4 linked regions of the Alligator mississippiensis genome follow. The protein of the gene in region 1 interacts with the protein of each later gene in a pairwise test. Links are inferred from orthologs where the notes say so. Each region holds a gene or a part of one and is shown on either strand. Other genes may lie near its edges. The genes, in order: TRIM54, MYO5B, MFAP1 and SPG21.

Region 1 (6,878 bases):
GCCCGTGGAGCACAGTGCCCTGCTGCCACCAGCTTGCGAGCAAGGGAGCCAGGAGCTCTGCCTGCTCCAGCCACGGCCACAGGCCACAGCATGGACGGGCCCAGCAGTGCCCCAGCCTTCCCATGGATCCCCAGCCTGGCCTGCGTGTGGGGGGCAGCACCAGGGCCTGGAGCTGCTTGGGGCCATGGGCTGGGAGCCAGCCTGGCCTATAAATATCTAGCTGGTAAACACTGAGGAAGGGCAGGAGGAGCCCGAGCACAGAGGCCAGGACAAAGGGAGGCGGGCTCAGGCAGCACAGCACAGCCTGGCAGGACAGGCCTGGACTCCCAGCCTGGGCCCAGGCCCCCAGAACCCCTTGTTCCCTGGCGACCCCCAGACCCCAGCCCCTCACCTGAGAGAGCTGCCAGCTAGGGGCCAGCCTCCCAGTAATGGGGGCGGGGGGGCTACAAGCACAGTTCTGCTGCAGCGCCCACACACCCTGCAGACAGCCCCTCGGGGACGTGGCTGTGCCTCAGGCCACAGGGACCCGATATGTCCCCACCCCAATCCCAGCCCAGAGCCACAGGGGTGACACAGCATGGCCAGGTGTGACACCGAGTCAGCGCCGGGGGGGTGGGCCAGGCCCAGCCGTGGGGTCCACGTGTCCCCAACCCACACTGCCCCAGGCTCCCAGCAGGGCCATTGCCCTTGTAGCCCCGCCGGCGGGCACACCTGAAAGATGTCGTTGGCACACTTGCGGCACAGGTTGTGCTGGCAGGGCAGGATCACCACAGGCTTGGTGAACATCTCCAGGCAGATGGGACAGATGAGCTGCTTCTCCAGCGTGTCCATGCTCTGCCCGTCCCCCAGCATCGGCTTGAAGCCCACCGCAAAGTTCATCCCCACGGTTGCGTTGCCTGCCCCACTGCACCTCGGCCCCACTACCACCACTGGGCTGCCTGGCCTCGGCTGTCTGCCCCACTACTGCTGTCGGCCTGTCCTGCCGCCCCAGTACCTCAGTATGTCTGCCCTGCCCTTTCTGTCTGCCCCGGTACTGCCGCCGGCCTGTCCTGCCGTCCGGTTGCCCCAGTACCTCTCTGTCTGCCCTGTCCTGTCTGCCCCACTAGCTCCACCGGCAGTTCCTGCTCTCAGCTCGCTTGCCCCGTGCTCGGCCTGCCTGCTCTCTCCGTCCGTCCCGGAGCTGCCCCCAGCGCGTCTGGGGCTCCGCTGCCCGTCCCTGGCCTCTGCCCATCCCCGCAAGGGTGAGAGCAGGGGCTAATTTTAGCTGAGCTTTGTGCTGTGCAGCATCCCTGAAATTCCAGCTCCATTTTTATCCCTGGCTGCGGCTGCAGCTGTCAGTAGCGTCGAGTGACACTGAGTCACACACTCCCGGAGGGAGAGGGGCATGGGGCAGGCAGGCGCCTGTGCTGGGAGAGCCCATGGGACCCCCTACTTGCCCCCCAGCCCAGGGAAGAAGGGTGCTGAGGGCCTTACTAGCAGAGGCTGAGGGCTCCGCCAGGGGCAAGGGGGAATGTGGGGAAGGCCTGGGGGGGTGTCGTGGCCATCAGGGGATAGCCCAGGCCCCAACCCCATGCTCCTGGGTCGCGCTGCAACCTCTGCCACCAGGACAGAGCTACAGAGCTGGGACAAAGGCCCCAGCCCTATGTGCCCATGGAACACCACTGCTCTTGCCCCCAGCAGACAGCCACAGATGTGGCCCAGGGATGCAGGCCCCAGCCCACAGCCCAGCAAGGTCCACAGGCAGTGAGGGATAGCATGGCCATGGGAGCAAGGGGTACTGCTCTCTCCCTGGGGCCTGGGCTTGCTCTAAACAGGGAGCTCCAGCCAGCACACCGTGCTAGGCACATCCCAGGAGCTAGCATGCGATGCCTGGGGACACCACACCTGGGGACATGCCCAGACACCAGGCCACAGTCCTGCAATCACCCTGGGCCTCAGCAAGTGCCCCCTGTTTGGGCCTGGGCTTTGGGAGACAGGGAGCCAGTACATAACTTGGTCAGAGCCAGCACTGCCAGTCTGAAATCTAGCACAGGGTCCTCCCCCAGCACCAGGCCCTGGCCCCCGCACACCTGAGCCCCTCCAGGGAGCTGGGTGCAAGGAGGATGGCAGCTGGGAGAAGCTGGGGCTGAGTAAGGCCCCCTGGCCGCTGCAGCCACCCAGCAAACAGCAGTCCCTAAGCTTCTGTAAACCTGTGAAGCAGACACCAGGGACCTCCCCCATCTTTGCTGGAACCCGCTCGCTAGACCCTTGTTTCTGCTGGGGGCACAGCCCAGCCTAGTGCCCCCCCCCGGCCCCCATCCTGGCAGGGAGCCTCCAGCACTATATTTAGGTAGTGAGGCAGGGCCTGGGCTCCAGTGGTGGGTACAGCCCGTGCTGGGCGCAAGCCCGAGTGGCAGGACACTACCTGCCTTGAACAATTGCAGGTGGCACCAGGCCCAGCCCAGGCACCGAGCCCACAGGCAAATTTAGGTCCAAGCTCCAAGCTGCAGCACAGGTCTCTGCTGTGGGAAGCTTCCCACCAGTGCTGGCAGGGGCAGCCCCCACCCCCTACCCTAGTGTGGCGCAGCCACCTCGCACACAGCCCAGCCCATGGGCCCAGACACTTGCTCCCAGCACTGGCAGCACCACTGGGGGAGGCCAGAGCTGGGGCCTGGTGCCAGAGCCCACCCTAGCCATGATAAGTTCCCCACCCCCTGCCATGCTGTGAGGGGAAAGAGCAGCCAAGGAAGAAGAGGGCAGCCTGCAGCTCCACAGTTGACAGGACAAGGGCCACATCCTCTGGGAACCCTCTGTCTCCCCACTGAGTTAGGGAAGCACAGGGACCCACCAAGAGATAGCCATAGCTGCAGTGATGGGCCGCGATGCCTGATGCCCATGACTAAGACAGGGTGTGGGGCACAGGCTGGGTGAGTGGCAGCATGAGCAGCAGGGCTGAAGCAGACAACAGGACCCAGCACCAAGTGCAAGCAGCCCCCAGAGCAGGTGCAATGGACACGACCTGGGCTGAGGGCACTGGAGACCTGCTGACAGGGGGGCCAGGACACAGAGGCTGCAGCACGGGCAGGAGAAGCAGGGGGTACCCAGCCCCAGGACAAACAGATACAGTGAGGCAGATGCCCTCCGCTCATCCTTTAATGGTGTCTATAAAATCCATACAAAAGGTTCCTCGACCCTGCTGCATTGGGCCCAGGTGAGACCAAAGGGCCTGGGTGGCGGCTTAGAGCCAGGCAGCGCTGGCCAAGCCGCAGGGCCAAACCAGGGCGCAGGAAAGGGGGTGCTACATTGAAGGGGCTGTGCTCCCGCCCCCGGGAGCAGCTTTTGGCACCCAGCATGCAGGGAGGAGCCCTGCTGGGACACCGAGCCCTGCTGCTGCCGGCCGGGGGGTCAGGTACAGTGCTACCGGTCTCACGCATGCCCAGGCGGAGTACGGCCCAGCCGGCCTCCACACACGTGCTTCTCAGGCAGGCTGTGTAAGCCAGGCCCCACCCTGGAGAACATGGCACCCACAGGCCTGGGGACATGGCCAAAGGGGGGACTATAAGGGGAGTTGGTGTGGGGGGGGGTGCTGGTGAGTGGGGGCCAGGCTGGCACAGGGTGGGGCTGCGGCCAGGGTCTCTGGTTGGGCCTTGAGGGCGACCCCCTGCCGTGGGGCTCAGTGTCACTGCTGGTGAAGGAAGCATGGGGAGCTGCCGCAGTACCGGGGGCTCCGGGCTACTATGCAGCCCCCACAACCACTAGGTGTGACCAGGCAGCAGGGGGCCCTGGGGAGCCAGGCTGGCGCTGGCCCCTTTAACCTGAGATTCTTGCTGAGGCAAGGCTGCCGGGCCAGTGCTGCCAGCGCAGCGGGACAGGGATGCCCAAGCAGCAACAACTGGGGGGGAGCCCCGCGCTGAGTCCTGGTGGAGGCGCCGGGACATGGACTAGCCTCATTTTTCTGTTTGGGCTTTGGCGCTTGGTGGGGTCTCTGCTCTGGTAGCTGCTGGTGGGGGCTGTGCCACGATAGGTCTGCGGGGCTCTGCGGGGCAAAAGCAGAGGGTCAGAGACTGTGAGGGGCACAGGCCTCACCCCTCCCAAGGCCAACAGAAGCCAATCCTACATTTCTACCTCTGCCATGGGACTCCCAACCCCAGACCAAGCCAGGCCTAGTCTATGCTTAGAGGCACTGAAGCCAAAGGGGCAGCTGTCCTCGGCTGCCAGAACCTGGGACAAGCCCAGAGGCACCAGCCCAGCACCAGGACAGACCCGGGTGTCAAAAACAGTCACTGGTGCTGGCCCAGATCTGGGGGCACCACCTGAGCAGCCAGGCCTGGGGCACGCTGCATAGCCCGAGGATGGCGGCAGCCACAAGCAGGGCCCTGCATGAGGTGCAGGCCAGCACTGGGGCCTGCCGCAGGCCACCAGTCTTCCCCCCCATGCTCCAGTGGGGCCTTGCTCACCCGCAAGCACCCTCAGCTCCTTCCTGCTGGCCAGCTGGGCTCTGAGGGCAGCAAGTGTGAGCTGGCTGTGCCCAGCGCCACCAGGCCAAGGCCTGCAAGGAGCTGTGGTCACCCCACCCTGGTGCTGAGGCAGCCTGTGCCTAGTTGCTAGCCCGCTGCATGCAGCAGGGAGCACCGCACCATGCCCAGGGCTGGGGGCAGGCAGCCTGGTCCCTTCCCTAGCCACTGGTCCCAATATGAGCAGCCGCCACCTGACCAGGGAGAAAGGTGCTGGGGGCTGCACCATACACAGCACAGCCCCCACCCCCTAGCAGCAGTACCCAGCCAAGCCCTCCCCGCAGGGAGGCGGGGCTCGCCCTACTGGCCACTCCCGGCACTACAGCCTGGCACCAGGCCTGCTCACCTCGGTGCTGGCTCCCAGGGTGGAGGAGGCCTGTTGCCTCTGAGCCGGGGGTGGAGGCTCGGGGACAAGAGCATGCCCTGCTGCTAGGGGAGGGGAAGCTGAGCAGGTCCCACAGGCCCTGCCCAGAGCCTGCTCCAGCCCCGGCTGCCCCACAGTACAGGAGGCACTCGGGGAAAGGCTAGGGAAGCCTGGCACTGCCCTTCCACGACGCCTTGGCTGAGGAGGGGGCCCAGTCCTCAGGGCAGCCAGTGACACCCCGACACGAGGAGCAGTCAACTCCCCGTCCCCCCCAGCTGGGCCCCTGGCGACAGCATCCGGGCTTCCCCACGGGGGCAACAGGGCTCCGTCTCCCCGTCAACCTGGGCCAGAACCCGACAGCTCCAAGACCCCAGCAGCCTCGCCTGCTGCGGGAGAGCAGTGGTGCCCGCGGTGCCTCACCTTCATCCTCAGCGCGGATCTGGGCCTCCAGGTCCTCAGGGTTGACGTACTTGTAGGCATCGTCATCCTCGGGCGGGCGGCAGCGCCCGAAGCAGAAGCAGCAGCAACAGCAGCAGCAGCAGCAAGTGAGGATGCCGCAGCACGCAGCCAGGGCCTGCGCGGGAGCCCCCGGTGAGATTCCCAGGCCAGCCCCAGCGCCCTGGGCTGCAGAGCCTGTCCCTCCCGACACGGGGCCACGGCAGAAACCCTCCTGCGGGCACGGCCCGGCCCGGCACTGCCCCCAGCCCCAGCAGGCCCCTGGGCGGGCGGCACTGCCGGACTCACCTTGAACCACCACTTGGACATGAGGAAGTAGTACTTGACGCTCTCCTCGCCAAACTGCTCGGCCACGTAGAGCCCCATGGAGCCGTACTCGTCGTAGACGCGCCGCTTGTTCTCGTCGCTCAGCGTCGTGTGCGCGTTGTTGATCTCCTTGAACTTCTCGACCGCCTCGGGGTCGTCGGGGTTCTTATCCGGGTGGTACTTCAGCGCCAGCTTCCTGCCGGGCCACGGGGCAGGCGGGGGCTGAGGGGCCGCACGAGGCAGCCGCCCAGCCCAGCCCACGTGGCCCTGAGACACCCCCCGAGCCTGCGCCCTGGGGAGCCGCGCACTCGGCCAGCGCAGCCCTTCGCAGGGGCCGGAGCTGCCCTGCTGCCCCGCGTCGGGCTGGGTCAGGCCCTGGTGCGGCACAGGCAGAGCGGGGCAGCGCCCGGGGCCGAGTACAGTTTCCTGTGCCCCTGCCCCCCCCGCCAGGCTGGGGCCACCCCCGCTCCCGGCGCAGGGACACGCGTGTTGCGGTGCGGTGCGGTGCTCTGCTCCCAGCCCGGGCCGGCCCGGCCCCACCCGCGGACGCGGAACTCCCCGGCCCCGGCTCCGGCGCCGCCCTACCTGTAAGCCTTCTTCACCTCGTCGGCCGAGGCGCCGCGCGGCAGCCCCAGGACGCGGTACAGGCTCTCCCCGGCCCGGGACATCTTGCGCTGCGGCCGCCCGGGCTCCGCCATCCTGCCTGCGGGCGGGCGGGCGGGCGGGGGTCAGCGGCCGGGCCCGGCACCAGGTGCCCCCGGATTTGGCCGCACGCGGCGGCGCAGGCGCCAGGTAAGAGCCTTAGCGGCTTTGCGCCGCGCCCGCCCCGCCTCGCCCGTCGCGTCACGGCCCGGCCCGGCCCGGCCCCACCGCCGCCGCGTTCTGCGGAGCCGCCCAGCCCGGCTCCAGGCCGGGAGCACAGCCACCCCGGAGCCCACCGGCCCCAGCCCCCGCCCAGCCCCAACGCACCGGACGGAGCGACCCAGACCCAGCGCTGCCCCCGGCCCCGGCCCGCCCCGCGCTCACCCGTGCCGCGTCCGCCGCCACTTCCGACCTGGCCGCCCGCACCTTGTACCGCGCACGCGCCACCCCGCCCCGCCCCGCCGGCGCCTGCGCGCTGCGCCCGCCCCGCCCCGCCCCGCCGTGAGCCACAGCCAGGCCCCGCCCCGCCCCGCCCCGCCCCCCGGGAAGCAGCGCGGAGCCGGCGGAGCGGTGACGCTTTATTGGTACAAAACGGCGGCGGCGGCGAGAGGCGCGGA
Region 2 (7,472 bases), on another chromosome or scaffold:
TGCACCCTCTACCCACTGCAGTAGTCTGGCAGTGGGGGCTGCTGCCTGGCTGTGACCTGGTGCTACCTGCAACAGCATCCGCCCCCTTGGACCTGCTGCCCCATGGCTGCACACCTGCCAGACCCAGACAGGGACCCCCTGGCCGACTGGGCTGTGATATGGGCACTGTAGCAGAGTTGCCTGCACCTCTGGGCCAGCTACCAAGAGTGATGCTATTTAATTTCCTGTAGGCCACATGCACCATGTACTGGCCCCACTTAAAAATCTTAGAGGACTTTTTCAGGCCTTGTCCCATCTTCAGTTTGCCTCAATTCTAGGGCAGAACTAGAACTCTGCAAGAATGAGCACGAGAGGCAGGCAGGAGTGGGACACATCCTAACATCATCTTTGATATTCACTTCCAGGTCTTATGATGTCAGTGGCATTATAATATGCACACATATCGCTGCCAGAATGAAACTCTGACAAACGCTTAATTCGGGGGAACATGCAGATTTAGAATTCAGAGACATTCATTGACATGCACAGCAGAGCTATCTCTGTTGCACCCAGAAAAACTTAATTAAATTATTATGTTTATCAGGCTGCTCTCTGCCTCACAGTCAATATTGTTTGAGAGTCAGGGTCATGTTATGAAATGTGCTTCCTAGCAAGTTGTGCAGCAATCGTGCAGTTCCAGTATCTTCTATCAGGTACTGATGATTTTAAAAAATCCATTTTCTTTAGAATAGTATAACCAAAAAAAGACACCTGAACAGCTCAGACTGTTACTTGAAAGACCTGCCACAAAAATCCAATAAAGTGTAGCCAAAAAAACCCAATTCAGTCATAATGCAAATAAGTTCATCACTGTCCCACGCACACTGAAATACATCCTTTTCCTCTTCACCTGTGACCTTGAAGAAAAGCCCTGCAGCATATCCAGAGCACCAGCCAATCCAGGCTGTTGTGGAACGGATGCAGGTGAGAGACAGGTGCATTGCTATGAAAGGGCTCTAGGAGCATGCTTTGATTAACTCCCACTGCAGCAGGATAGCTCAGCCACAGAGGTGTTCTCTCAAATGGTTATTTAGGACTATGAAGGTCAGCGCCAGCCTCAGCAACTTACCTCCACTTGCAATCTGCAGACAGCCAATGTCAGTTATGAAGCACTGATTGAATTGGCCGGTGGCAGGATGCTCCACTTACTAAACCAGCTACTATACCTCAAAGACGTTTTACTTGTATCTTTACAGTGTCAGCTAAGACAACTTTAGTTGCTGGCTAGAAGACTGCAAGGCTTACCCTCCAGTATGGACCTTGTCACTGTAACATTTCTCATCGTTGTCAAGTGGAAATGCAGGAGGCAGAAGCACAAGTCAAGCACCAAGGCTAGGAAAGCGCAGAACTGTTTCACAAGGGTGGGGATACATGGCTTAAAAGCAGACACTTAGGGACAGCTACAAACTGGAGAAGCTACAGGTAGCCAAAATTCAGTTGAAACAAGTGGGGTAGTGGGGTTATACCTTAGTGCTCAGTGACCTGCAGCCAATGGCTCAAATGGACTCGACCAGGAGTCAGGATGCTCTTGGCAGACTTTACATTGGATGCAAGCTATTGGGCCAACAGCGCTTGGTATCTTGAATGCATGGTCCTAAAATGACATTGCTTTGCTCTTCCCGAGCATTTGGGAGATGGCTCCATGTTTTCAGCAGACATCTGCAAATCAAGTGTAAAAGTTTGTTTCCAGAATGGAAACAAATTTTAATTTTCCCAGAGAATTTTGTAGAAGCCAGGACTTCCAGCAAATTTCTGAGTCTTGTTTTACTTGCAATTAACGTTTTAAATGAGTGCAATAAATTCGCTAATCTATATTTCATGTGAATTGCTGTGTTTTGCATCTGTGCCGTTATCTGTGCCCAGCTCTCATTTTCAGTTTTGTTCCTAATGATATTGGTATTTCCTATTCCTTTTCCATGTTTGATATAGAATCACAGAACTGAATAAAAGAACAAGAGCAAGTTAGGCTTACATTAGAAACCCTTTCCCATAACAGTACCCCTGCAATTTATTCCAATTTAGCTACAGCAGTTTCACATATGTGGATAGATATTTGCCTAGATTTCCATGGTAATCTTAAAGGTCTTACAAAAATTACAGTACAGGAATCAAATACGTTGTCCAGGTTAATTCCCAGATTGGAATCAAGTTAGTGCAGCAGTGGTTAAGAAACCCAACAGTATCATGTCTTTAATGGCAAAACCATGGAGAATAGATACGCTGATGTCAACCAAGCCCTCTGCTCAGGCTGTTATTATGGTCCAGATTCACTCACAAAGTGGTAGGATATCTGCTGGGGGCCTATCAGCAGAAAACAGGCACAAGGTCCTCTACAGTTGTAGAGCCTGCAGGGAGGTAGAAGAGCCACTGAACAGGGCACGCTGTTATGGAACGGCAGCTGCGTGTTGTCATGATTTATTATTTCAACCAGACACCTCTGTAGCCCCTGTATGGGACTTACAGCAGCCCTCTCCTGGCTTAAACCCCTTGGAGACAGCCTCTCCCTTCCTAGGAACATACCTGTGGCCCCAAGTGTCACCTGGTGCCAGATCTGTCTCTTTAAATCCTAGACTTTGAAGTGAGACATACAGAAGATTGAAGTTGGAATTGCATAGGAGCCACTAATACATCTCTTGCAAACTGCTACTAAATAAAGATTGCTGCAGAGACTGAGGCTACCCAGAAGAGGGCACAAGAAAGCTCCAAATGGACGGTGTTTGAGAGAGGATGTTCCTGGAGCTAGTCACAGAGCGATGCTGTGCTTAAACTTTATTCGCCGACTATCAACTTCTCACAACACTTTAAATTGACAGTTCTCATATTGATTTTTCCCTGTGTTGTTTCCCACATTTCCCTGAATGTAGCTCTACCTCTGCTGGACCCTTTGCAGTGGGGATCCAGCCTGCAGGCTGCACCTGCTGATTCAGGGCATAATGCCGTGGCGGTAGGAGAGGCAGGCTGTCTTTGGGGTTGCCCTGGTGTGGATGAAGGTTGCCCCCTCCAAGCTCAAATATCAAATCTGCTGCGACTGGCCCCCATGTATCACTCGGGTGCGAGGCAGCAATTGTGGGAAGGGAAAGAGAATGAGGTTTTGTGTTGATGCAAGACAAAAAAAAGAGCATATTTGCATGGTGCCAGGGCATGAGGAGCTATGGGAAAAGGCTGGCAACTGAACTGTTCACTGTGTTCAGACGTGGTCCGCGTTTCTGTTCAGCTACAGCACTGCATGCTGATGACATGCAGCAAACTGCATAATCTCCAGTCATTTATAGGAAACACACCAAAGACCATGAAATAGTATTGTGGCAGAGCACGACCTCCAGTGAGCCAGCTCCTTGCCACCACGGTCGCTGCCCCCATGCTATAGACACCTTAACGTGATTCCTAACAATAACAATTAATAATCCTTTATTTTAACCTTTCCATAGCACCTTCCTTCTGCGGACACAGCACACGCTGCACACATTAACTATGTGACACATGACGAGTCTCAGAAGAAAGAAGAGCTGTGTTGTCTAATGGGCAAAGTGTTGGACTGGGATCCTGGAGACCTGGGTTATATTCATGGCTCTGTCTTGGACCTGCTGGGTGACTCTAGGCAAACTGCTTGATAGATCTGCCTCAGTTTCCTGATCTGTAAAACGGGGTAAAGTACTTTGAGCTCTACCCATGAACACATATTTCACTTGCCATCTGAAGAAGGCAGTTGCTTTGTTGCTGACACTAATGTAGAGCGGTGGTTTTCAGCCTGTGGTCCAGGCACCCCCGGGGTGCACGGACCATCTCTAAGGGGTCCGCGGAAGACAGCGCTGATCAAAAAGCGCGTGGATCCCCACTGACGAGTCAAAGGGTCCGCACCCGCATTTGACATTCCCTTCAAACGCCTTGAGGGGTCTGCCAATGGAGAGAAAGAGGAGTGAAAACCACGGCGCTGGACTGAAAGAACAAGGACTGTCCTCCTTTACGACTGCACGTCCAGTCAGAGGAACGACCCGCGCTGGAGATCAGCCCGGACGCAGCGCCGGCACCGTCCGGGCGCACGACAGGCCCCGCGCGGTTTCTTGTACGTAGCAGAGGAATGACCCTGGCCCTTGGCCGCCAGCGCCTCCCCGGTCCTGGGTCACAGAAGAGCTGGGAAAAGGCACGAGAGACGCGCCGCAGCGCAACACGGGAAAAAAAAAGCAAAAAAAAAAAAAAAAAGGAAAAAAGAAAAGAAAAGAAAGCGCGCGGACCCATTTCACAGGCCCGACCACTGAGGCAGGGCGGGGGGCGGGGCGGGGTGAGGCGGGGCCCGCCTGGGGGCGGGGCGGGCCTTTCCTCCACCTCCACCTCCGCCTCCTCCCGGCTATAAATCCCTCGCGGAGGTCGCGGCGAGAAGCCTCCGGGTGCGGCGAGCGGAGCCGGGCCGGGCCGGGCCATGGCGCCAGCACCAGCCGCGGGCCCCGCCTGACCGCCCGCGCCACCCCCGCCCCGCGCCGCCCCGCCCCGCGCCGGGCGGACGGACATGTCGGTGAGCGAGCTCTACACGCAGGTGAGTCTCTGCCGCCGCCGCCCCTTCCCCGCCCGGCCCTGCACTGCCCTGCCCGGGCTCCCGGGGGCCGCCGTGCCGGGGCAGGCCGGGCCCTGAGGGGACAGCCGGCCGCCTCCCGCCTCCCTGCGACCTTTGCAACCGCTCTAGGTGCCGGCTCCCCTGCCCCCAGCCCGGGGCCAACCGCCGTCCCCTGCCCGCAGCCCACCTGCGCGGGTGACAGCCCCCCTCCCCGACTCGGTGGTCGTAGTCCGACTGCCAGGATTTCCTCAGGACCCGCCTCGGTGGAAACCGTGCGAATGGTTGCGGGGGCCGGGCCGCCCCGAGCCCGGGCGGGCGAGCGAGACGCTGCGCTCCCCGCGCGCGGGCTGTCCCTGGGCAGCGTGGGGTGTCCTTAGCGGTGTCCCAGCCGCACACAGCCACAACGGGATCTGTCCCTGTTCTAGAAACTTATCAACCGTGTCAAAGCAGCATCAAGTAAAAGGGTTAAAGTCAGCAGCACGGCTGTGCTGCGCTGATCCCGGCGTGTCTTGTGGTACGGGAGTAAAAGAAAAACCAAACTCATTCAGGGCGGCTCTCCTTAGTGTCCCAGCCGGTCACGGCACTGATGTGCTTCTGTCTCGCGCTCCTTGTGCGAGAGCCCAGATTTTAAGTGGAGACAGCGTAGGGAAGGATATCGTTTAATATTCCTGGTCCGGTGTTTTGTTGTTTTGGATTTTTTTTATTTGCATTGCTTGGTCTTTGTGTTTTTGTTTGCTAAACGTTCAAGGCAAGTGCGGCTTCACCCTGGGAGGCTGTGTGATCGGGAGTGGAGAGCGTACCCAACTGTATTATCCTGGTTTCTGCCTCCGCTCCTGTTCCTCCTCCTTCCCAGCCTTTGGTGAAGTTCCTCTGCCTCAGCGTCCGGTTGGGAATCTGAGCCATAGGTGCTGGGAGCGCCTGGGGGTAGGACTCGGAAGCTGTCGTGCAAGTGTGCGGTTGTTGATCAGTGTTAAGTGTGGCGCTCGGCTGAGCAGATCCGGTTATGCAGACTCCCTGGGGTCCAGTGCGCGCTGCAGGCCTGTGACTTGCGAAGAAAACTCTCAGCTGAAAACAGCACACAAGTAATCTTTAGAGATCCAACGAGTGTCGGCAGGGGAAAGAATATCTCTTTCTCCCCCCCCCCCCCTTTCCTTCTCCACTGTTAATTGACATGGGGAAGTTGCTAACTAAGCAAGATGCAATGAACAGAGGGAGGTCACTTTTTTCCTAAGCTCAGTCTGATCTTAGTCCTTGCTTTGCCGACTTTGGTTTTGGGGCAGTGGAGGAGAAGGAAACTGCTCCTGTTCTAGGAGGGCAGAATTTCTGCCTGCCTGAGAGAGGCAGGGGGAGAAAAGGTAGCATTGGCTGAAGGCAGATCAGTAAGACTTGTGGTCGGGACGGGGGTAGTGGCAGGTACTTACAATGGTAATACCTGCCGGTCACCGAGGTGCACACCATTCTTTACGTTGCGAGTGCGTGGGGACTACATCGGCGTGCACACTTCTCAGGTGTGTCCCAAGAGCACATGTTGCAGGGGAAACGGGACTTGCTCCTGTGTGATCTGTCCTGGCTCTTTCACATGTTCATCAAGCCCCGCTGGAGCACTGGGAAGGATATAGCTGCTAAGGAAATAAATATGTCCTATTTTTCTCTTGCATTTTTATGCTTGTTCTTTGTTGGAAGCTGCTTCCCATTTCAAATAAGAAAGGGAAGTCTTGTATGCATGGAGGACCTCTGAGCACTCCTACGGACAGGATTGTCTCTCCAAGGGCAGGGGCATGCTGCTCTAGAGAGCTCCGAGAAATCCTTCCCTACCATAAATGTCCTTTCAGACAAGGAGAAATGTGTGTCCTCACATCAGACAAAGTTTCTTTTCCAAAGAAGTGAGCAGAGCCAAATTGCATTGAGTTAGCGTGGTTTTTTTGGAGGATGGATGCTTTTTTTTTTTTTTTAAACAAGGGGCATAGACAGGCTTACAAGAAAAAAAGAGCAAGCTTTATAGATGTTACCAAGTTCACTGTAATCATTCAGGCTACGTCAACAGGAGACTTGCCTGCGTGAGACGGAATGAAAATGGTTTTAGATGGAGAATCCTGCCTTTGTTTATGGGCTTTTATTTATACCTTTTTAATAAGAATATTTCCCTAGGGTCTTTCCATCTGATTCATTTGAAATAATGTGAGGTACAGGCATAGGAGAACTGCATGCCGCTGACCTACAAATAGCTTTTGCTGGAAGGTTGTAGAAGTGCTGGCGTTTTGCTTTGATCCCAGTCGGCGTGGTGGCTCAGCAGTCACCAGTCTGGAATCATGTCTTTCGAGGAATTTGTGCCCGTCTGCCCACCCATACTTGGCTCTGAATGTTAGCAGTTTTTAGTAGTGATCCTGCCCTGAGCAGGTACTTGACCTCTTTCTTTCTATGTACGTCTTCCTCACTGTTTTTTCTCTGACTTCCATGATTTGACTGTACGGCTGGCTGTGTGGTATTGCCACGTAGAATTGTCCCAAGCTTTATGGAAATCTGTTGTAGCATAGTTTATGAACTTTTTTTTTGGTCATCGCCCTGTCGGTGCTAAATAGGTCCATGATCGCCCGAGTCTTGTACGATGAACTACGTTCACGCACGAGTTTCCTTTGGATTGTGTGAAACTATTTCCTGTAAGGAAGGACTTTCAGAGTTGAGCCCTTGAACTGGTGAAGGACTATGGACACTTTCGGCTTCGGCGCGTCACAGCTCCAATTGGAGAGAACTTTCTTTCTCTTTCTTTCAAATGTGTTGACTGTTGTAACTGCACTCCTTGAACATGCCTGAAAGCATGATTTAGTAACTTGAGCAGACCGCAAGGAAGAGATGTAAGAAATTCCCGATTAGCAGAGGACAATAA
Region 3 (7,711 bases), on another chromosome or scaffold:
GGCTCCGCGCTCTGGGCTCAGCACCCGCCGTGCGGCCCCCACCCCGCCGGGCGAGCTGTGCGTGCCCACCGCAGGAGGCAGCACCAGAGCCATGCCCCGCACACCGCTCCCTCCTCGCTCCCACGCAGGCTTCCCCCGCCAGAGACCCCTGCCCGGGGCAGACTGGACCCGTGCACCCCCACTCCCAAGCCACCTGGTCCCCCAGGGCAGACAGCCCCTGCCAGGGCCCTGGGCGACACGGCACAGGCCCCGCTCACCCCATGCCCATCAGGCCACAAGTCAATAGCACACACGGCGGGGGCGCAGAACGGGTGACCCAGGTGCCCGCCCCTGGCCTCGGCAGACACGCCTGGCCTTGCCGTCAGGGACAGCAGCTCCCGCAGGGGCCCCGGGGCCGGGCAGAGGCAGCAGAGCGCCCAGGCTGTGAGGGGAGAAGGCAGGGCCCCCGGCGGGCTGGGAGGAGACTCACCGGCCCCAGGTTGAGGAATCCATGCTTCCTGGCCAGCCTGTCAGCCTCTCGCGGCCCTGCCGGCACCCGCACTGCCCAGGTGTTGGTGTAGACGCGCTGCACGAGCACCTCCTGGGCCAGCAGCACCAGGGCCGTCACCAGTGTCCAGAGCAGGAGCAGCACGCGGGGCCACAGATCCATGAGCGCGCCGGGGTGGCCGAGCGCCGGGAGCAGGGGGTCCAGCGACGGCGCTTCTGCTCACAGCCGCTGCATGCCCAGGTGCCTGCTCTGCCTGGCCGGCCTCCCCGCGGTCCGAGGGATCATGGGGCTCACGTCCGGGCGGCAGCCGGGCCCAGCGGCAAAGACGGCAGCAGCCGGATGGCAGGGACAGACCTTGGCACCACGACCTGGGGGCAGGAGGAGTAGTGGTTAGACACGCCCGGGAGCACGTGGGCTGCCTCTCCCCGCTCCCTGCCGCGTGGTGGACCAATGGCGCTGCCAGGAGCATGCAGGCGCAGGTCAGCCCAAGCCAGGCCCGTGGGGGTCTCCGCAGGCAGAGGGAGCGCTCGATCTGCGCCACCTCCGCGCCCCCCGCGCAGCAGGGCCCCCGGCAGCCTCCTCTGCAGGCGCTGACCCAGGCAGCTGCTGCCGGGCTTGGGAGCGCGAGGTGGAGGCGGTGGCTGGCGAGAGGCCCGGGTGCTGGAGCACAGCGCGCTGTTTACCCTGCCTGTTGGCCAATGTGTGCTGACACGCGCGTGTACAAACAGAGCAGGGATGTGGCCGGAGCCGGGAAGTCACCTGGGCCAGCCCCGCGGCTGGGGAGCAGGGACCGACACGTCGCAACCCCCGCAGCAATGGGAGCGCAGCCCCGCGGCCCCAGGGCAAGGGCGACCGGTGCGGGTGCATCTGCGTGCCCCCCAGCCCAGCACACACCACCCCACAGCACCCCCGGCCCCGGCCCCGCCCGCGGAGGGGGGCAGCGCAGCAGCTCAGGCTGGCTCCGGCTCGGGCCTCCAGACAGCCGCTGGTGGAAGCCGTGGCACTCGCAGACCCTCCGGGGGCTTGCAGGCCTCCCGCCCGGCTCTGGGCACGGCGCTCCGGCTACCCCGGGGAGGCCGGGCCGCAGAGCCCTGGTGCGGCCGCACGGGGGTCTCCAGCCCCGCGCCCGCGCCGAGCACCCGGCAAGAGGACGTGCGGCCCGGCCCCGGCCCCCCCCGCCCGGCCGGCCGGCCGGCCGAGACGGCGCCGCGGTGACACCCGGTGACTCACCGCCCGCCCGCCCGCCCGCCTCCCCCTCGTCCCGGGCGCGGCGCGGCGCGGCGCGCCTGGCCGGCCGGGGCCCCGGGCAGCGCCGGTCCGCAGGGCCCTCGCCCCCTCCGCGGGCGCGGCGGCAGAGCGGGCCGGGCGGACCCGGGCACGGGCCCGACACACGCTGTCACCGCCCGCCCGCAGCTCCCCGGCCCAGCCTGTCCCGGGGCCCGCGCACCAGCACGGCCGCCTCCCGCCGCCTCGCCTCGGCCCGGCCCGGCCCCGGCGCTCACCTCCGCTCCGCTCCCCGGCCCGGCTCGGTGCCCGTGCGCGGCCGCGGCCCCTTTATGCTGGGCGGCACCGCCCCGCCCGGCCCGGCCCAGCGCGGGGGACGGGGACGGGGCCGGGCACGACCCGGCTGTCAGCACCGCCCCGCCCGGCCCGGCCCGGCCCGGCCTGCCCCGGCGCCGCCGGATGCCGCCTCCTGCCCGGCCCGGGCGCTCCTCCCGCGGGGCGGCGCCGGCGGCGGGGAGGAGCCGCGGGCCCGGCCAGGCCAAGGGCAGCGGCGGGAGCCGAGCCGAGCCGGGCCCCGGGCACACGTGGCGCTGCCCGCTGCCCGCCGCGCGCCCAGGGCCGCCACCAGGCCGCCTTGTCCCGCTCGGCCCGGCCGAGCGGGGAAGGGCAAGGGCCCGGCCCGGCCCCCGCCAGGCTGAACCGGGGTCGCTACCGGGGGCCCCGCTGCAGCCGACGGGCCGTGGCCGCCGCTCGCGGAGCGGCAATGCCCAGCGCCCCGGCCTCCCGCCCAGCAGGGCAGAGGCGCGGGCACCTGCTGCGGGGCGCACCCGAGGGACCTGCCCGCCACTCCTGGGCCGGTGGCACCCGAAGGCCCGATTCCCACCTTGGCTCGGGCCGCAGCCACCCGGCCTGCCCGGAGCAGAGCGCAGCGCCGCCCGGGGCTGCCCCTCTTGGGCCCGGGCAAAGGCCGAGGCTCCCAGGGCAGGAGCCAGCTGGAGCACAGCCCCCGCCTGCTGCCAGGCTCTGCCGGGACGGGACAGCACAGCACAGCACAGGACGTGCTGGTGCCCGGTTTCCAAGCGGGTCTAATCGTTTCACCTGCGGGGTCACGTGGCGCAGGTCTCTCCTTGCAGCCGCGCCGCCACCTTCCCACAGCGGGACGAACTGGGGCACCCGCGCCGGACCCGTACCTCGATGGGTGGGAGCAACAGGGGCTGCGAGCGCCAGGACCAGGTGCCCCCGAGCAGCGCTCCTCTGCAGCCAGAGATTGGGAAACAGCTAGCTGATGGCATCCCCGCGTGCCCGCACCCCCACGCGCTCGGTGCTGGCACCAGCCGGCACACACAGGAGCTCGCAGCACTCGATCCTGGCGGGCACTGCCGGGGGAGCCCACAGCAGCCTTGGCCGTGGCCCCGCAGCTAAGCCAGCTCACGCCCTGCTCAGGCTGCGACCTGCAGGACCGGCTCTGCCCAGGCCCTGCAGGCAGGAGCGCGTCTTGCTCCTGAAGCAGCGCAGCACGGCTGCGTTGTGCAACGCGCAGGTTTGCTCGGAGCCGCGCCAGGAGCGCAGCAGGGCGCGCCCAGCCGCCACGGCCAATTAGCGCGGGAGCGGCAGCGGGCTCCGCGCTCCCTCCCTTCCCGGGGGCCTGCTCCACAGCGGGGTTTCTTGTGGCCGAGCCGGGCCACGCCAGACCCTGCCACCAGCGACTTGCCCTCGAGGCCTCCGTGAGCCAAGCCCCTGCCCCCGGGGAGCTTTGCCTCGCGGGTACGTGGACCCCACGGCAGGCCATACGCCCAGGCGCTGCCCGCCTGCCAGGCTCCCCTCCAGGTGGCCCTGGCCCTGGCCCTGGCACCAGGGCCCTGCTCCCCCCGTGCCGAGGGCAGCCCCCGGCACCGCTCTCCCGCCCCAGCAGGGACGCGCTCACAAAGGACGAGCCGCAAGTGCCGGCAGCTGCCTGTGAAACAGGATCTCCCCGGGCAGGCATGCAGGGCCCTGGCCGCGCGCCAGGCTGCGACGGCGCCGCGCACCTGCCCCTGCCCCAGCCCCAGCCCCGCAGCTGCTCCGCGTGCCGGGCCCAGGCCCCGGGCTCGCAGGGGCCACGCGAGCCTCGGCGTCGGCTCCTGCACGTCCGCCATCGCCGGCTCGCTCGCCCGCCCCTGCTGCGCCCGGCGCCCGCTCTGCCCGGGAACCCCGAGCGACAAGGCCGCTCACGCCGGGGCCAAGGCGGCGCTGGCAGCGCCAGGCAGGCCCAACGCTGCGGGCTTCCCCAGCAGTGCCGGGGCCCAGCAGCCCGTGCTTGCTCCACAGTGCCGACCAGGCCCGGTGCTGCGAGCGTCCCCAGCAGTGCCCTGTCCACACTGAGGACAGGCCCACGCGCGCTCTAGCAGGGACTTGGCGCGCGTTTCTGCCGCCGGCTGCCGTGACACGGCGGGGCCCTTCCAGCGTCCTGCGGGCGCGGGGCAGGACCGCCACCCCTGCCCTGCCGGGAAGCAGAGGCCTCTTCCTCTCTTCCAAGAAGGGCAGGAGCGGGACGGGGCTCGCGGCCCATGACGCAGCCCCGGCCCGTGCCCCGGTGCCAGGCTCCTCCCCCGCACTGTCGGGAAGCGCCCGGCCTGGTTTCCTGCCTTGCGCGCAACCGGCTGCGGTTGACACCTGGTGCCTTGCACAGAAACCTCCTCGCCTGCCCGAAACTGGGTCACCCGCTGCGGGCCGGGGGCGGCCAGAGGCTACGCCCGCCTGGCCCAGGGCACGGGGCAGGGCACGGGCAGGGCCGCTCGCGGGGCGGGGCGGGGCGGGAGAAGCCGCCCACCTGCCTTGGCACAAGCACCACCCCAGCCCCGGGACCGACCCCACCAGGCCACTCTCTCCCACTTCCGCAAACTCTATCCCCTCCTTTGACCAGAGCCCCCACTTCCGGTCAGGTGGGAGGGGACCGCTGCCCTCTTCCGGTTCCGGGGTGAGGGTTCAAGTGCCGTCGGAGTTGACTTCCGCCTTGGCTTCTCCGCTGTCCCCAGCTTCCGGTTCCGGCGGACGGGAGCGGGTCTCGGTCTCGGTCTCGCTGTCGGTGGGTCCCGGCCGGGCCCGGAGCAGCCGCCGCCGCCATGTCGGTCCCCAGCGCCCTGATGAAGCAGCCGCCGATCCAGTCCACGGCGGGCGCCGTGCCCGTCCGCAACGAGAAGGGTGAGGGGGGGGCGGTATCGCGGGCCGGGCCGGGGGGCGGGGGTGAGAGGAGGGAGGCCGGGGCAGGCCCAGGCCCCGGGCCCGGCGCTCACCCGGCCCCTGCCCGCAGGCGAGATCTCGATGGAGAAGGTGAAGGTGAAGCGCTACGTGTCGGGCAAGCGGCCGGACTACGCGCCCATGGAGTCGTCGGACGAGGAGGACGAGGAGTTCCAGTTCATCAAGAAGGCGAAGGAGCAGGAGGTGGAGCCCGAGGAGCAGGAGGACGACTTCGCCAGCGACCCCCGGCTGCGGCGCCTGCAGAACCGCATCAGCGAGGACGTGGAGGAGCGGTGAGCCCTGCCCCGAGGTCCCCGGGAGCCGGGCCGAGCGTCTGGGGCAGCGAGTCGCCAGAAGCGCTCGGTAACAGTGCGGCCCCCCCATCGCCCCCAGCCCCCGGCCGTGCTTCTACGGCGAGAGAGCCGCCCGTCACGAGCGCGTTTCTATTTGACCGAAGTCCCAGGAGCGAGGTGCTGCGCGAGGCCACGGGCTGCCGCGGCGTTGCTCAGCAAGCGAGGAGCAGGCTCCCCGCGGAGGCTGTGCTCGTGGCACAGGGGAGGGGCGGCCTCCTCCCGGGCAGGCCGGCGGCTCGGTGCTCAACGGGGTTCACAAAAAATGGGTTCCTGCTGCCTTGCGAGGGAGTGCCCAAGCTGTCGAGGGGTCGGCTGCGGCTTGTGCTTCAGCACAGGCTGCGTTGCCTGATGGCACTCAGGGCTGTCACGCTTCATAGACTCGTAAAACTCGGGTCGGAAGGGACCTTGTAGATCTTCAGGTCCGACCCCTGCCTGGGCAGGAGGGAAGCTGGGCTCAAGTGACCCCAGCCAGGTGGACATCAAGCTGCTTCTTAAAGCCCCCCAGGGTAGGAGCCAGCACCACTTCCCTTGGAAGTCGGTTCCAGATCCTAGCCGCCCTGACTGTGAAGTAGTTCCTACGGACGTCTAATCTAAACCTACTCTCCAACAACTCGTGGCCGTTATTCCTTGTTATCCCGGGGGGCGCTAGGGGAAACAAGGTCTCCCCCAAACCCTTCTGGTCCCCCCTAGTGAGTTTATAGACAGTCACCAGGTCCCCCCTCAGCCTTCTCTTGCAGAGGCTGAACAGGTTCAGGTCCCGTCGCCTCTCCTCGTAGGGTCTGCCCTGCTGCCCCCTGATCATGCTGGTGGCCTCCTCTGGACCCTCTCCATGCTGGCCACATCCCTTCTGATGTGCGGCACCCAGAACTGGACACAGTACTCCAACTGCGGCCTGATCAGTGTCACGTAGATGAGGAGGATCACCTCCTTGGACCTGCTTGAGATGCACCTGTGGATGCATGTTAGCGCTGCTGACCGTGACCTTGCATTGTCGGCCCATGTTCATCTTGGAGTCAACGATGACTCCAAGATCCCTTTCTGCCTCTGTGCTCTCAAGAAGGGAGTTTCCCATCTTATAAGTGTGCTGCCGGTTACTACTGCCCAAGTGCAGCACCCTGCACTTGTCTGTATTGAAACACGTGGTGTCTTAGTTGCGTAAGATTCGCATGCAGGTGCCTGATCTGTGGCACTAAGGAAGAGCGGGGCCCAGATCCATCCTCCTGGTAACCGGTGGAGTCACAACAGTAGATTAGGAAGGTTGGGGTGAGGCTTGGGGCAGGTTTGTGGGGCGTTGGTACAAGGTGACTGAGGTGCTGGGTCTGGGGCCTGTCCACAGGCTGGCGCGGCACCGCAAGATTGTGGAGCCAGAAGTGGTCGGAGAAAGCGACTCGGAGGTGGAGGGAGAGGCGTGGCGCATAGAGCGGGAGGACAGCAGCGAGGAGGAGGAGGAGGAGATCGACGATGAGGTACGTGCAGGGGCGCAGCAGCTGGTTGCAAGTGTGCTGCCGGAGGTACTGGTGCCTCCGGGCCTCCCAGCCGGGTGGGACAGAGGCTGCTGCTGGCAGAACTGGACAAGGCCGCGGAGGCTGGGTGTCACTGTGTAGGCGGCTCGGACTGACCTTTTGGGCGACAGGCTCCTTCCAGTCCTCACTGCAGCTGGGAGGGGGCAGCAGGACAGAAGCTTTTGTTAGTCCAACACATGCCACAAACTTTGTCTGTGATGTGACAGAGCTGGAAGGGACTTGACCACTGGTCCCTGCTTGGGGTGGGGAAGCTCTGGAGGCAGAAGAACAGAGGAGGTGGAAGGGTGGTGGCCCTGACACCTTGGTCTGGGGTGGGCTCTGTCAGGAGATTGAGCGTCGCCGCGGGATGATGCGCCAGCGAGCCCAGGAGAGGAAGAACGAGGAGATGGAGGTGATGGAGCTGGAGGATGAGGGCCGGTCTGGGGAGGAGTCGGAGTCGGAGTCTGAGTACGAGGAGTACACAGACAGCGAGGACGAGATGGAGCCGCGCCTCAAGCCCGTCTTTATCCGCAAGTATGTGCCACAGCTGCCTGCCCGGGGAGGCTCTGGCAGCTTGTGGAGGGCAGAACGCCAGCCTGGGCCACTGTTCAACCTCTGCGTGAGGAAGCAGTGGCTCTTCCTACCACAGAGCAGTGGCAACAGGTGCCTGAGCTGGAGAACCAACTAATGGCCCCTTGGGTTCCAGCCCCAGGTTGGGTGCCAGGCCTGGCATGTTGCAGCTCTGGTCCCCAGGGGATGAGCATGGAGCAGTAAGGCTCCAGACAGCCTTGCCATGCTGCAGCCAGCTCATCAGCTACTATCACCCCCTTCCTCCCCTGCCCCCCCAATCCTGAACAGCCTGGGTGGGGAAGTAACAAAGCAGGTCTGCCTAGAGCCAACCCAGAGGGGTGACCTCACCGCCATGGTGC
Region 4 (7,871 bases), on another chromosome or scaffold:
CCCGAACAAAACCCAATTCTGATTTCTTAATGTTTCGTTCGGGTTGCGGTCGACTCGGTCGAACTTTGCAAGGCCCAACCTACCTGACAGCGGCCCTTCGAACCACGGGAAGCGCCGGACTAAGGGTCCTACCAACATTGTGCAACGTGAAAAGCTTTTGGCTGGAGCAGGACTGGCCACAAGAACCAGAAACGGGACCAGCGCGGGAGTCGGCTTCTTTGTGCAAGGTTTAGCTGAGATTTCGCAGCCCCTGATACACGGTGCAGGCCCTTAAGTTAAGAACCACATGCTCCAAAAAAGGCTCTCCCGATGCCTGAAGAGGGGAGTGGGGGTTGTGCCTGGAAGCTTACAAAGAATAATTTTGCAACTGTTTTTCAGTAATAATAATAATAATAATAATATTTAAGTGCAGAGATTTTTAAACCGACCCCCTCCATGAGGCCCATAATAACAATAATAACGTGCAGAGGTGTTTAAAGCGACCCCCCACGAGGCCCCCGCCCGGGGGAAGATGGCGGAGGGGCCGCAGCCCTGGGGGGGGCGAGGCCGAGCCCCGCGGGAGGCGCTGAGCGGCCGCGGGGCGGTTACCTCTGTGCGCCGAGGGCAGCGAGGAGCCGAGCAGCCGCGCGGCAGCGGCGCAGGTGCTACAGCCGGACATGGCGCCGGCGGCCCGCGGCCCCGCCGCACTAGGCCCGTCCAGTAAACACCTCCCGTCGCCTCGCCCAGCCCTCTGTGGCGTCACGAACCTCACGTCCCGTCCCCTCAGAACTACAACTCCCGGCAGGCTCCGCGCGGGGCCCCGCGCCCGCCGGCCGCTTGGCCCTGCGCGCGAAGCCTTCTGGGGCGCGTAGGCGCCGTGGCAGGGAGAGGATAGGCGCGGGGCATGGCGGGCCACCGGGATCGCTGCATGCCGGGAGTTGTGGGCCGCTGGACGGGAGCGCGCGAGGGTCAAACGTGTGCGCGGGGAGAAGCGCTGATAGTGGTCGCGAGAGGTGACTCAGCGCTTGCAGCCTCCACGTGGCCGAGCGGGCACAGCGCTGAGTCAGCCCCAAGCTGTGCGTGCGCTGAGCCCCGCACTTGGTTTGCTGCTGGGTGACAAAGAACTTCCTCGTGTTAGCTTTAGGCGTACAACCTACTAGTTTTATTGTGCGACCCCAAGTTTTTGTGTTGTGAGAATAAATATTAAGTCCCTATTTCATTTCCCTTCACCGTTTAGGTTTTTTTTTTTACGGGTTTCCCTCGCCAACCACGATTTTGAGTACCCACACTTAATATTATATTATATATATATATATATATATATATATATATATATATATACACACACCATTTTGGCTAGCACAGTATTTCAAGTAACCACGGTTTTTCGTGGCTGTGGCTGCCATTTTTCCCATGCGCTTTTTGTCTTGCCAACCAGGGGGAACTTTCAGGAACCTGACCCCAGCGGTTGGCGAGGGAAACCTGTACACTTTTATCATGTCCCCCCTTTTCTAAACTGAATAGGCCTGGCCTCTTTACTCTCTTCTCATCCAGAAGCCCCTCCATACCACTGATCATCCTGATTATAGGCAACACGCAAGGGGGCACAGGTGGGCATGTGCCCCCCGACCCTGAGATTGACCACTGCCAGCTTCTGTCATTCATGATCCTGATTGCCAAACTTCCCTGGACCCTCTCCAGTTCTATATTCTTTCTGAGATGTGGGGACCAGAACTGGTCAGTGTTCAGTTGATTCACTTCTTCAACATACATAATAACCATGACTTTCCCAGCCTGGTGAATCTGCAGCCTGGACACTAATGGTTTCTTATGACAAAATTAATTTGTGTCATGCACTTGGTCCAATAGAAGATCTCTTCCACAAGAATCCTTACCCCACAGCAGTGACCATTGACTGTCAGTGCAAGCTACTAGTGACTGCTTGAGGCACTGCAGACCACGGTTGAGGGAAAAAATTGGTACAAAATGAAGCTGCAAAGGAAGCCAGCTCCTGCCAAGCTTGGGAAAAAAAGTTAAAAAATAACAAAATCACCGCAACCCAGTGTTAACAACGGCAGCTGATGAAGTGAGCTCAGTCCCACAAAAGCTCAGGCTACACATCTCTGATTGAGTTACTCCTTAGCTCTATTCTGCCTTCTGCCTAACACTAGAACAGAACATTTCTGAGAAGAGATCCAAAATCAAAACATAGCAGTTCCCTTCAGAAACACCATTACAACCCTATTGCCATCATTCTGCTGGCTTGAACAACTTAACTGTGGTGGCTTGGTTCATTTTTTTGTTGTGTAACGTTCTTCTACAGTTGTTTGTTCTGTATTTGATTGAAAAAAAATATTTTGAATTTTGAATGACATGGCATACATAATCCCCCTTTCTGGATGCTTCCCTGAGATATAAGCAAGAGATCTAATAGTGCTAACATGTAATATCCAAATAGAAGACTTGCAATCAAGAAAAGGCAGAGATCTTAGCTTCAGCCTTATTTATTCTACCTAAACAGTTCAACATGGATGTGTCAATGACCTGGTAACTCTACTAGAGCGATTTTCAAGCTGAAAGCTTATATGACCTTTTAGAGAGGTAAAATCACCCTTCCTGATCCTCCTCACTACTCTCCTGTGCATGGATCGAAGAATACAAAGTTCTTTGGGTAAATGTGATATATTTTAATAGACAAACTAAATAGTTGTAAAAATTGTTCCCTGCAAGCTTTCAGGCACAAACACCTCTCTTCAGGCATAAGGAAAGTCTGCTGGTGTTGTGTGCTCCTAGGTGTCTTAGAAAAGATATGTCATTGTTGAGTCTGGCTTCTTTAAACCTGTCAGCTATTACATTATAGCAGATGCTTACATTGAGTTGCTTGTCCACTATAACCCTTAAAATCTTAGAGCCTTTTCAGGGATGTTGCATTGAAGGATACATCTCCCTATTTCGTAGCTATGACCATTTTCCTTGACATATAACAGGGTATTACGGAATATATTTTTTACACAGGCCCAGCTCACCAAACAGTGCAGAGGTCCTCAGTAGAAAAGCTACCAGTGTGATGTCTGAAGAGAGAATTTGTATGAAATGCATCATATAAGCCAGGACCCCAATGCAGTGACCATTTGCACATGTGAATAGCATATATACAATGAGCAGTACTGTTGAAGTCAGTAGGACAACTGTTGTGTGAAAAGTTCAGCAAGTGTATCAGCGTTCAAGAGATCGCAGACTTCAGTTTTATCATACTGCATTTGTGATTTTTTCCCCCTGGTAGGTGACAGTAACAGCTCATTACTTTTCCTTTCCATACACAGAACAAGAACCCGAACAAAACAAACCCCTTCAAGAAACAGTTTTCAAAACTTGTATTAGCAATAAGCTATTTTGGTTTACAAACTTAGATCCAAATATTCCCTTTAGGGGCATGGGTAAGTTCAAAATGATATGTGCATGGAGCAGGGAAAAGGCGACATAACACTATTTTATTACTCTTTTCAGTCCTGTAATCTCCAAAGTATGATCTCATTTTATTTGAGGCTTTCTACATGTGTAGCCATGGCTGAGGGAAGAGTTGTTCTCTGTAGACACCTCTTTTCTTGACATTAAATACTTTTCAACAGTATTCAACTGTGTTTTTTTTTAAAACAGAGAGCAGTTCTCCAGATAGAGCCATCTGGTGGGTTTATGCCACAACAGCTGCACATACACTTGCTCTATAAAATTAGTCAATGACATTTTTTTTCCCTGGTCCTGGCCATTCCTGGTGGAGAATGTAAATCCACTGTCCACTTTCCAAGCACAACTGCCTCCAAATTAAACCAGTCTGCCATCTCAGTTCTGTAGTTTTGAACTATGCAGCCATCCAATATCAGATAAGGTGACTGGAGCCAGCTCACACCAGGACAGATACGGCCTATGGACCAGCCAAAATTCACTGAAAAACATCAAGTTCTACTCATCACGATCTAAACCCTAATGGCCAGCTTGCAAACGAGAAAAACATAACTTTCATCAGCTTCTTTTGTAAAAATTGAACCAACAAACCCGTGGCATCAAGCGGGCAGATACCTCCATTGACAATACTAGAGCTGCAAGTCTGCACCGGAGAGCAGAGTTTGGCCCTTGAATTTTAGCACAGCGGTTCTCCACCTTTTCAGACTCGAGATCCCCCTCCAGAGGCTCAAAGCCTCCCACAGAAAATGCCAGCTCTTAGCTTTCACTCGTTTGACTACAGAAAAACAAGAGCCATTGCCCTGTTGCAAAGAATCAAGAAACCCCGCAACTGGTCAGGATGGTTAACGCTGGATCCCCGCGTGCAAACAGCATTTCTCTCGTGAATCGTGACCTAGCAGCGCTAACGGTCTGTGGCGCCCCGAGGCACCCCGGGAAGGATCTCAAGGCACCCGACGGTGAGCCGCCGTTCGACCACGTGCGTCCCGCTGTCGCCCCCCAGCAATGAACTTTAGCCAGGGGGTAAAATGCCGCTGGAAAGGGGCAGGCTTTCAAGGACGCTCTCTGGAGGCCTCACGCTGCTTGGCGGTCTCCCACAACCCCAGCTCTCCGAGTCCTGTTAGCACTACGAAGACCAGACTTCATTTTCTTTAAAAAAACCCAACAGCCTGAGCATACTGAGAAACCCTGGGCACACCCTGAAGGCTCAGACGCCAGGAAAAGAGAGGAAGGAGCCCCACACCACTCTCGTGATGTACCTTCATGATGCTCCACCTGCAACAGCCACACCTGCGCATGCGCCTCGCCCCAGTCCCGTGCGCATGCGCACTCTCCCCCCTCCTGGGCTGTGCCTCAGTAACAATGGCGGCCCGGCGCCTCGCCCCGCCCCTGCGCGTGGTCACGTGGCCGGCGCGTGGCTCCGCGGGAAGGCGGTACCCGGAAGTCGCGGCTGGAGGCGCAGGCAGCGCGGTCCGGAGCGGAGCGCTCCTCCCCTCCCCCCACTCCCTCCTCCGTGAGGGGGAGCCGGTACGGCGGCATGGGGGTTGGGCAAGGTGGGGGATGGGCATGGGCTGGCGGGGCACTGGGCCCGGGGCTGGGCCGAGGGCTGCCTAGGCGCTGTCTCCCGTCTGTGGGGACGCGGGCACAGGCTGGGCAGGGGTAGCGTGGGGGGTCTGTGCTGCCCGCGCGCCCGTGTAATTTCTGTCGTGGCTTGTGGGACCTAGACAAAGAGCCAGTGTTTTCCTTAAATTGGTTTTTAAAACTTGTTTGGTTTTTTTTAAAGACGTGCGTGGCACCATCCTGGACAGCTCCCTGCGTTATGTTCCCTGCCTTTGAATGAGCTGGGAAATCGGATAACCAGCAAAGTGTCGTGGTTAAGCTTTCATGGTGATGGTTATTCACCTAGGAGGCTTTTAACGTTGCGTTTCTGCGGAGACTTGCCTGCGCCGCCGCCGCTGCGCAGGAGCCTCGCAGGAATTGAATTTCCTATCGCCGACGTTGTTTTGTAGCGGTGCACAGAGACGAATAGGAAGGAGCGCGAGCACGGAGCAAAATAGCTGTAAGATGGGAGCACGAGTCAAGGGGCAGTGGTTTGCGGTGTGTGGTAGTTGCCGTCTGGGTTTGGTTCGTATTAGGTAGCTCTCTGCTTCAGACAAACCACAGCTAATGCCAATTAGGGTTTTTGGTAACGATCTTGGTAGGAGCCCAAGGTTTAAAGGTGTGGAGACTGTTTCTTTTGAGTCTTATAAGGGGCCCCTGCAGGTTGGTGTTCAGGTACATTGGTGAGACCATGAGGATGGTAAAGAAAAATGCTTGTTCCAGTCCTGTTCTCTAGAATAACTCCGTCTCTAAGGTTGCCAATTAATGCCTTGCACTTAAATTAATGGCACTAATACAACCACTGGCAGCAAGAGAAGGGAGAGCGGAGAAGAGCTGGAATTGGCTCTCAATCCTGTGATGAATGAAACCATTTCTTTAGCGCGCAGTCCTGTCATCGAGCTAAACGGATGCTTCCTTACATTTCTCTAAAGAATTTGCTTATGTGCTCGCACAGTGGGACCCAGATCCTGACTTGGGCTTCTGGCCACAGCTATATAATAAATTAAAATACAGTGTGAAGCATACACTGCTCTTGCATTAAGGTGTCCGTGTGTGTTTTGCTTGCTTTCGCAATTTCTGCAGCATATTATTGCAGCGTTGTTTCCAAAAATGTTTGTTTTTTGCGTAGTGGCTAATCCAGACTTATGCAGGGGATTTAGTAGAACAAATTGCTCTCTTCTTTTTGCCTAATGACCAGCTGTCCTCCCGTTCCAGTAATATTGTGAGCCTGCTTCACTCGCCAGTCTGTTGGCTGGAGGCGGTGTTTGCTCTCCACTAACTTTTATGCGCTGCCAGGCTAGCACAAGTGGTAAAATACTTGACGCAAGCAGGAACTTATCCAAAATTGAAATACCAGTCAACCCAGTAGGGTGAGATTCTCACCCAATCTGGAAATATTTGTGATGTGGTGAAAATGAAATACTTTTTGCAGTTTGGAAAATAGTAGGTAAGAGGCATGTACTTCATGTTTCTAGTAAGTGTTTCTTCACTGTTTGTTCCATCTGTTTATAAACTAGCAAACTGGGATTGAATTCAAAAGAGCTGTATCTTAATTGCTTTTTTTGTATAGTGGTGGGAACAGATGAGGTGAATTTCCTTCATTTAGGGTCTTGTCTACAGAGAGAAATTGAGTGGAATATATGACAATTCTGATTAGAAATGAGAGTCAGTACCCATTTAATTATATCTGAATATTTGATTAAAAGAGCAAACACCTTATTTTCTTATGCTCTGTACACTGTGAAATTAAATGAATCTCTGGGGCAGAATTTCCCTTTCAAGCAACAGGTTACAAGCAGTCAGAATATAGCCCCAGTTTTAAGAATTATCCAGTGTTATTTGGTATACAAATAAAAGTGCTTAATCTATCAGTGCCATGGCGTTTCACTAGGCTAGTCTTGATTTCATTATTGCAAACAAATTGTGTCCTATATAGAACATGAAACCTCAATATATGGGTAATTTTGTTAATGCTTCTTTGTCTGGGGGGAATTGGCTGTAGTGGGAATAGTCCATCTACAATAGCTATTTCAGAATAAAGCTCCGTGTGTGGACACTTCTGGAATAAACTCTGTTTTAATTTTAGAATTATTACTTTGGCTGGGAAAACAGTTATTTTTCTGGAATAATTTTTTTTTTGGAATAAGTACACTAATTATGTGGAACAACTGTTGGATGTTGCTGTTTTGGTCGGCTTCTCTGTGAAGAGATGCCCTGAAGCTTTGACTGTTCTGTAGAACAGGTATCGAGTAATATGGAGGTAGTGTTGAAGCTTGCTTTCAAGAAATGCTTATGTTAGTTACAGTTGAATTAGAGCATGTGTCCTATATACTTGAATAATTGGAGGGCAAGGCATGAAATACGTGGGCATTTATAGCCCCTTTTCTGAACTGTTTAAAGTTGAATAGAAGCAATGATAAAAATGTCCACTTTTTAAAACAAGTTAAACCCTGAAATACTATCTTTCCCTTTCAGGAGCTGCTCCATTGGAATGGTCTGTAAGGAAAAGCTGCCTTTTTATCCCCGAAAGCTCCATCAGTTCATAATTAGAGGGTTAGTATATTAAAACATTCTAGTGATTGTATCTTCTGAATACCTTTTAAGTAGCTTCTAATTAAAACTAAGGATAACCAAACTTGACATGCATTAGAAACCAGCTGATAAGAGGTAAAAGCAAATTTCATCATGAAAGGACTCTTTGTATATACAAGGCTTCAGTGTAGTGGCTTAGTGCGAACCTGCATTCTTTGCCTAAAAGATGCCATATCTTTGTTTCAGGTTTACCTAAGTTTCATCTAAACATCATGGGAGAGATTAAAGTCTCTCCTGACTAT

The links.
Region 2: the proteins of TRIM54 (region 1) and MYO5B interact in binary tests that used the Homo sapiens proteins (3 or more experiments, as listed by UniProt). The two-hybrid records come from large-scale screens. The link is inferred for Alligator mississippiensis from reciprocal best matches to the Homo sapiens genes TRIM54 and MYO5B.
Region 3: the proteins of TRIM54 (region 1) and MFAP1 interact in binary tests that used the Homo sapiens proteins (3 or more experiments, as listed by UniProt). The two-hybrid records come from large-scale screens. The link is inferred for Alligator mississippiensis from reciprocal best matches to the Homo sapiens genes TRIM54 and MFAP1.
Region 4: the proteins of TRIM54 (region 1) and SPG21 interact in binary tests that used the Homo sapiens proteins (3 or more experiments, as listed by UniProt). The two-hybrid records come from large-scale screens. The link is inferred for Alligator mississippiensis from reciprocal best matches to the Homo sapiens genes TRIM54 and SPG21.

What each region holds. Positions count from the first base shown.
Region 1 is NC_081824.1:196,417-203,294, forward strand, and holds the start of TRIM54 (tripartite motif-containing protein 54), read right to left. Parts: upstream 3,011-6,878; 5' UTR 880-3,010; coding exon 712-879; intron 1-711. Other genes in the region: DNAJC5G (dnaJ homolog subfamily C member 5G), read right to left, coding at 3,927-4,015, 5,278-5,431, 5,602-5,815, 6,205-6,317. UniProt on the Homo sapiens protein: May bind and stabilize microtubules during myotubes formation.
Region 2 is NC_081826.1:288,437,913-288,445,384, forward strand, and holds the start of MYO5B (unconventional myosin-Vb), read left to right. Parts: upstream 1-4,461; 5' UTR 4,462-4,543; coding exon 4,544-4,570; intron 4,571-4,775; exon of another isoform or gene 4,776-5,635; intron 5,636-7,472. UniProt on the Homo sapiens protein: May be involved in vesicular trafficking via its association with the CART complex. The CART complex is necessary for efficient transferrin receptor recycling but not for EGFR degradation.
Region 3 is NC_081834.1:741,841-749,551, reverse strand, and holds the start of MFAP1 (microfibrillar-associated protein 1), read left to right. Parts: upstream 1-4,697; 5' UTR 4,698-4,812; coding exon 4,813-4,891; intron 4,892-5,000; coding exon 5,001-5,220; intron 5,221-6,616; coding exon 6,617-6,746; intron 6,747-7,128; coding exon 7,129-7,316; intron 7,317-7,711. Other genes in the region: furin, read right to left, coding at 470-649. UniProt on the Homo sapiens protein: Involved in pre-mRNA splicing as a component of the spliceosome.
Region 4 is NC_081834.1:6,522,833-6,530,703, forward strand, and holds the start of SPG21 (maspardin), read left to right. Parts: upstream 1-4,859; 5' UTR 4,860-4,965; intron 4,966-5,221; exon of another isoform or gene 5,222-5,497; intron 5,498-7,512; 5' UTR 7,513-7,590; intron 7,591-7,815; 5' UTR 7,816-7,841; coding exon 7,842-7,871. Other genes in the region: CLPX (ATP-dependent Clp protease ATP-binding subunit clpX-like, mitochondrial), read right to left, coding at 84-138. UniProt on the Homo sapiens protein: May play a role as a negative regulatory factor in CD4-dependent T-cell activation.